Linked DNA regions of Arabidopsis thaliana. The protein of the gene in region 1 interacts with the protein of each later gene in a pairwise test. Each region holds a gene or a part of one and is shown in the gene's direction. Other genes may lie near its edges.

The links.
Region 2: the proteins of AT5G05190 (region 1) and AT4G15730 interact in a two-hybrid assay, tested with the Arabidopsis thaliana proteins (one large-scale study listed by BioGRID).

The regions. Positions count from the first base shown.
Region 1 is NC_003076.8:1,539,358-1,543,114, forward strand, and holds the start of AT5G05190 (hypothetical protein (DUF3133)), read left to right. Parts: upstream 1-1,860; 5' UTR 1,861-2,495; coding exon 2,496-2,616; intron 2,617-2,791; coding exon 2,792-3,757. UniProt on the Arabidopsis thaliana protein: Plays a negative role in salicylic acid (SA)-mediated resistance to powdery mildew (e.g. Golovinomyces cichoracearum). May modulate plant immunity by regulating the relocation of EDR1 by interacting with CHC2 and modulating endocytosis.
Region 2 is NC_003075.7:8,955,862-8,959,618, reverse strand, and holds the start of AT4G15730 (CW-type Zinc Finger), read left to right. Parts: upstream 1-1,953; 5' UTR 1,954-2,404; coding exon 2,405-2,494; intron 2,495-2,953; coding exon 2,954-3,023; intron 3,024-3,101; coding exon 3,102-3,229; intron 3,230-3,395; coding exon 3,396-3,752; intron 3,753-3,757.

The DNA.
Region 1 (3,757 bases):
TTTATCAATTATCAATCTTAAAAGATAGCTAAAGAAAACGTTACTATGGGCCCTTTTTCTTTCTTTAATTCTTTCATATGGAATCTATTATTAATTAAAGACATGTATTAAAGAATTTCAGGTGTAAAAGAATAGTTTTTTGCTTTGAGGTGTCTATCTTTATTTATAATCGGAAATTTTCAAGTAAAAAGAAATAGACTCTCCAAAGCATAGGTAGAATAATTGAATATTCTTATCAATTAAATCGTCTATAGTAGCCAATTATGATTGCAATCGTTGTGCGAATATAACCAGCATGGTATATATCACAAGTTTTTAGTTAGTGAATTTTTTAGTTATTTCAAGAGCTTGTTCTGTAGAATAAACCAAAAACTAAAAGAAAATCCATTCTATTCAATACCATAACTTCATGTGTTCACGAAACATCATGGGAACACAGTAAATAGAAAAACAAAATCAATTTATAACTATATATGAATGTTGTCAAATGGGAGTTGACCTCCAATATTATCTTTTATACATTTGAAACTTTAATTTTGACTTTTTTTTAGTAAGATAGTTTTTGTTCATGTCCTGAATGTTAGGTAACAGCTAGCGATTTGAAATAGAAATAAACATTTACAAACCATGTAGTGGTCCAAACCATTGACTCAATTAAAGAGTCAACGCATAATCGAATTTGTAATCTGTGAAGAAGAAGACTCGAATGGTATTGAACTTGATTTGATTTGATTCGTTTTGTGAATCGTATCCCGTTAGTCATTGGATTGTGCAGAGAAAACAAATATTGAAGCAACCTCTAATTAAGTCTACAAAGAAATAGGACACCACAACAAAGGTTGACTTTTACAGAATCACAAAGCCAAAACGATAATCTAGAAAGTAGAGAAACTAGACAGCACAAAACGATAAAAGACCGAGTCTGTCGACCATTACCTTAGTTTTTTTTCATATCGTTAAAAAATAATGTGATATACATGTACGTTAATACTTAATATATACTATTTGACTTGAGATAGCCCTACAAAACTTTTATTCATTTATTTCTCACAAGTTCCCTAAAACTTTATGAACCAATTTGAAGATTAATATTTTGTTACGTTGCTATCAATTTCAAATTCTTTGTAGGTGCTATATTTGAAAACTGGTTTCATACCTAAAAAGGTTATGAACCAAAGACTCAACTTGTCTGGTTATAAATAAAAGTGATTGAAAACACTCACACGGCTAGTGAATTCTCATTAGAAAAATGAAAAGTTCGTTAAATTCGACCAGTGATATAAATATATATACGAAAAACATATGATCATTATGCTTTTTGTCAGGTCCTAGAAATAAATATGTGGAACCCAATTCATTTCAACATTCACGGTAATTTAATTTCCCTTGGCAACATTTAGTCATTTACCGGAATATTCAAACTTCGAATGTTAGGAAATATTTAAGAAGGTAATGGTAAAAAGTAAGAAAAAAAGGACTGGGATCAATAAATGAGAAAAATGGAAGTAGTAGTGGGGCTAAAATTTCTCTATCCAAAATAAATGAAACAGGCGCCGACATTAACAACACCATTCCATTTATAACTCTTTATCCAAATTTTTATTTAGCTGAACCCAATTTACTCTTTCTCTTATCTTCCTCTACTTAATTCTTCTAACAAAGCTCTGTTGCAGATGCTTTCTTTAGAAAAAAATTGGGCCAATATTGTTTATTGAAAAGATCAACAACAGACTGGGTTTTGTTTAAGAAAGAATAGTGATTAGAGAACGAGTCGTTGATGTTCTAATTGACTTGCAAGAATGAAAAAAGATACCAAAAAATTCCTCAAAGAGATATTAAAAAGAAAAAACTTTTTAGACACGGAAAAAGAGAGACTTTTCTCAGAGGAAAAAAACAAGAAAAGAGAGAAACCATAGTAAAAAAAAAAAAAAAACTGTCTGTCCAACGATTTGTTTTTGTTTTTTTGTCTCTGTTCTCTCAATTCTTCTTCTTCTTCTTCTACTTCGCCCCCACGACAAGAAATTCTCCTCTCTATTTCTATCTCATTCTTTCTCTCTCTCTCTATAAAATCTTCAACTTCTGGGTTTATTCTTCCACAATCCCTCGAGTTATAATAACTCTCTGCAAAGAGTTTTACTTTGATTCTTCTGTGGAGGATCTTACACAATTTTCATGGCTTCTTGAATCATGTAATCTTTTCCTTCTCGCCATTTTTCATCTCTACCCGGATCCGTAACCAGCTCTCAGACCAGACCCGGGTTATACCATTTCTCCTCCTTAAAAGTCACACCGCGTTGACCTTCTTCCTCTGGTCTCCTCTCCCATTTTCTTTTAAAGAACTTCACAAAGTTTCAATCTTTTACTTTGGTTCCTCTCTCTCTCTCTGTTTATTAGGGTTCTGGGTTCTGTTGATGATGATTCTCTAACTAATGAGGTAGAGTTATAACCCAAAAATAACAAAAGTAGAGTTAAGTCTTTGAAATTTGGTACCAACAATGGCGAGCCAGACGGGTCAGAAAATTCGGTTGGTGAGGTGTCCCAAGTGCTTGAAGATTCTACAGGAAGACGAAGATGTTCCTGTTTATCAGTGCGGTGGTTGTTCCGCCATTCTTCAAGGTAACTTTCTTTCCATTTCGATTTTGCCTCTGATTATAATGTGAACTCTGTCCCTGAATCTGGCTTTGTTCTACTCCTGGTTGTCCATCTGTTTGGATGTCTGAGCTCAAACCAGTTGTGTTTTGTGGCATGATCTCTTTCATTATTAAATTTGGTTGTTGCTTCTTTGATTCAGCGAAAAGGCGGAACATTGCTCCAAGCAGTACACCAAGTGCAGGAGAGACAGAGAGGGCTCAAGCCAATGAGCCGCAAAGCGTACCTGAAACCAACAATGTGTCCAGCAGCTCGGGGCAGGACACGGTTCTGCCGTCATCTCCAGGTCGTTCCGTGGACCAAGAGTATGAGAAAGGTAGGAATGCATCCATGGAGTCTACGGAGAAGGAGCTTGATGACTTAGAGTTATCTAATGGAGATGGGACAAATGAAATTCAAGAGCAGGAATGTTCACTTGGTGATTCTGAGAAGAATGAAAGAGAAGACAACTCCAGATTGGAGTCTCATATGATGAACACCGTAGCAGAAGCTGCAGGATCTGGATCTAGCTCTGGAAGCTTGAGCGTTGATCATGTGGTGGCTGCAAGAGCGAGTAATCCATCCGGTAACTCTGAGATTTCACCGGATGCTTCCCCCGTAGAAGAGAAGCAAAGCCAACTTGACATTCTTGCAAACAAGACTCCTTCTGCTTATGATGTGGTGGCTGCAAGAGCGAGTAATTCATCTGGCAATGCTGAGATCTCACCTGATGCTTCCCCTGTTGAAGAGAAGCAAAGCCAACTTGATTATCCTGCAAACAAGACTTCTTCTGCTTATGATGGGAGTGAGTCTTCCTCTGACGAAAGGGAAGGCCAACTTCTCGATGATGACGAACAATGGAATGCTCTTCAGAAAATAAGATCAGGCAAATTTGAGATGCATAGATACCCTGGGTATAAGGAGCAAGGCGCTAGTTCCTCCTCCCCTTTCTCTGAGAATAGGCGCAATGGGATTACCACATACAACGAGCGGCATCAGAACAGGTCTCTACAGCTAGAGGGACCAGGAGGGCGCCTTGGCAGACAAGGGAGGAGACATGTGACAGAACAACTTCGGCCTGACATGCCTTTCTATCCGAGAGAATCATACACACGTGGAAGCCCTTCCC
Region 2 (3,757 bases), on another chromosome or scaffold:
CAAAGAAAGAAGTGGCAGGCATACGTTATATATGGATTAGGTTAAGGGTTTTTGGATTTTTCATATAAATTTTGATTTAAAATAAACTAAAATTAAAATAAAAAACGTGGAAGGGTATGAATGAACAATTTTATTGAGTTAGTGGCATTAGTGATAAAATTCCGACCAATTATATTCAACTGTATTTATATATAGACTAACCAATCTTTAAACTCTGATGCTTGTAGCAGAAACTTCGCACTCACATGCAGCCCTGCTATCACAAGCGACAACCGGACAAATCATTATTGGGGTTTAATTGTGGTTTCAAAAAAGTAAGGTGAAATTGGAAGAAAATAAAAAAAGTTTAGTCTATAGAAAAAACTATTTAAAGTTCAAACTTATGCATTAAAGTTTAATCAATTATAATAAAATAAATTTAGCAAAAGAAAAAAAAAAGCAAGATCAAAATCTTAGATGAAGATAGTAATAAAATATCAAAGAATTAAATTCGTAGAAAGAAAAGAGAATATGAAAGTTATATTAACTCGTAGAAGAAAAAGAGAATATGAAAATTATATTAAATTTGTAGAAGAAAAAGAGTGGTATCATGCAACCAATCTGCACAATTTGCAATCCGAAAATGGATTTGGTAACAACTTACGACTAGCCTTTTTGACATTTGTAAACGTAGTTAATGCACTTAACTACAATACAACCATTTTAAACTAGAATTTTTTTTTTATGATTACACATATATAGAACTGTTTATCCAATTTAGACATGGTCTACAACGAGCTAGAGTTTTATTAGAAACAATTGTATATGTGATATTGACTATAAGTATATGAGTTAAAGATCGGATTAGTGCCCTACTACTGTATATATAGAACTAGATTTTGACTCGCGGTATACCGCGGGGCTAGGTTTTTAATAAAATTTGTTATATAAAATGTATATGTAAATATTTGTTTTATTAATATTGTTTGCTTTGTTTAGTGTTTAAGATAATGTATATATAGATTTTAGTTGTTATATCTAGGATTTCATCCGTAGTATATCGTTTCGTATTATTATCGATCAAAACTCGTCATACCATCTAATCCTGCACATTGAAATTAAACATATCTAATAGATTTCACTTGTGGTATACCGTCTCGTAATACTATCGACCAAACCCGTCCTACCACTAACCCCGTTCAGTAAAATTAGACATTATTTTGTTATTTTTGTTTTAATAATACTTTAGTTTAAAAAATATTAATTCAAATCAATTTAAAAGTTTTTTTTCAAATGGTTATTTAATTATTATAAAGTTTATATATTATAATATTATAAACACGTCCTACCATCTATTCCTACTATCTAATCATGTTCGGTGAAATTATTTTTCTATTTTTTTAATAATATTTTTATTAAAAGATTTATAATTTAAATCAATTTAAAGTTTTCTTTCAAATGGTTATTTAATTTTTAAATATTTTAACCATTTTGGCAAAAATAATTAGGCCATGAAATAAAAGCATATTCTTTTGAATAAGATTTGCTTTGATTTGGTAGTTAATTTTTGCATTTAATAAGTCAGTGGCAGCCATTGTAAATAAGTTCCAATTGCAGGATTTATTTCATAAAATGACTACAAAAATGTATATATAGATTAGATAGTGTTTAGAGTAATACATATAACAAGTTATATTTTATTAAATACATAAATATATACATAATAATTAAAGTGTGGTATCATGCAACCTATTTAGCGAACTTAGGAACAAAATCCACAATTCGTTATTGTCATGAATTCGTATCTCTCATTTCTAAACTGTTAAGCAATATCCGATAAAATCTAAGAAATATAAGGGGCAAAATGTAAATTATTTCTCAAGCATTAATAAATGAGAGATACGAATTATAGAAAAATTAAAGTTGTTTATAATTAATTAATTAATGATTAAACCATAAACGAAAGGAACCCTCCAAAACTAAACACTCTTCAACACATAGCGTCTTGTCTGCAAAAAAAATCGGAGACGCAAAACCAACTTGCCGCCGAATCTTCCTTAAACCCTCAACGCTGCTCTTCGCCGCCGTTGAGACGATCACAGTGATCGAATCTTCCTTTTCAACTTTCTCGTCTTTTGATCAAACGAGTTTGGTTGAGTTTTTGATAAACGTGATTAAGCGATTAATTTCGCGTTTTAACAACAATCTAGATTGTCCTTTGGAGATTGAACAAATTTAGGGTTTTTGGGGATAATCTAAGTGTTTATGATTTGAAACTTTGTGTGTTTTGAGATTGTTTTGGGCAATGTTGGATTTTCGAGACGGTTTGGTGGCGGCAGAGTTAGTGAGTGTTGGGGTTTAGGAAGTAGTAGTAGTTATTAGGGTTTGGAATTGGGTTATGTTTAGGGTTTTACTAGTTTAGAAGATGGGAGAGGATTATGAGCTTGAAGAAGGAGAGATGAATTGTTCTTCTGATGAAGCTGTTGTTGATCTTGACGTTGATCTCTCTTACATTGTGAGTCTCTCTTGTTTGTGATTTTTTTTCTCATTATTAAATGATCTTTTTTGTGTGGTGTTATGTGAAGCCGTTGTTGATCTTTGTGTGATGCTTAATTTCTGATTATGTTTTGGAAGTGTTAAGATCATATGAATAGTACAGTACTCTGTGTTTATAATGCCAATGATGATTAAGTTTTGTGCATCTTAGTTTAGTTGGAGGAGATATACCTTTAATAAGATATTTCAATTGCTATGAATCTTGCTTGTTTCTACTGAGTTTTGAGTTTTAAACAGAGAACTATGTGTCTGTCTTTTGTAGCATATGAAATCTCAATTTTATGTATCTCAATAAAGAATATATAGTGTGGATACTCATTTTTTCTCTGTTTTTGTATCTTTGTGTGTCGAAGTCTTTTTCTTTGCCTGGTGGTTTTATTATATATGTGCTCAAGTTTTGTTGCTTTGTGTATCTAAGGACAAGAAGGTACAGAATGTACTTGGCCACTTGCAAAAAGGTTTCGGAGAGGAAGCCCGGGACCGGTTTGGTAAGTAATATTAAATTGGTGTTAGTGAGATATTTGTTTTGAAATGAAATGTCGTTGTTGAATGATATGGTTGGTCAGGTCCGGAGATCTTTGACTATGGATCATTTTTGCCCACTTACAAACGTTTGCCGGCTGTACCATCATGTCAAAGGAGTTCTCTAGGGAATCATGCTGTACAAAGAATTTCCAACAGTTTACCCGGGAAGGTATGAGAGAAACAATTCTCAATTCCATGTGAGGATAAAAGGAAAATATGGTAGTGAAACTACCTTGTTGTTTTTGTTTGAAGGAATCTGGACCTTTTAGTGATTTTTCTTCCTCAGTGTTTTAAGTAGTTTAATTATGAGTACTTATGAATTATTGTTTGCGCAGAATGTGGTTCAGAAGTTTCAGTCACCCCCTGCTACATCTTGTAAACTAGTAAGAAATCAGGATCCTCAGAACTATCAAACTTCAGGATCTCTTTTGGCTCAAGCTCCAGGAAAAGTTCCCATAAATAAAGGAAATGCAAGAACACCAGCCAATGATTTGCCTCATAATAAGCCGATCAGAGTTCGGATCAAAATGGGTTCTGAAATCTTGTCCCAAAGTGTCGCGATGGTTTGCAAGGATCTTGGTCTCGATGGTTCTCCAAATTCACCACCCCGAATCAGCCAGGATGATAGTAGCAGAATGCTACCGCATACATCTCTAGGGAAGACAAGTGAATCTCCTTCCCGCATTCTTCAGGTATA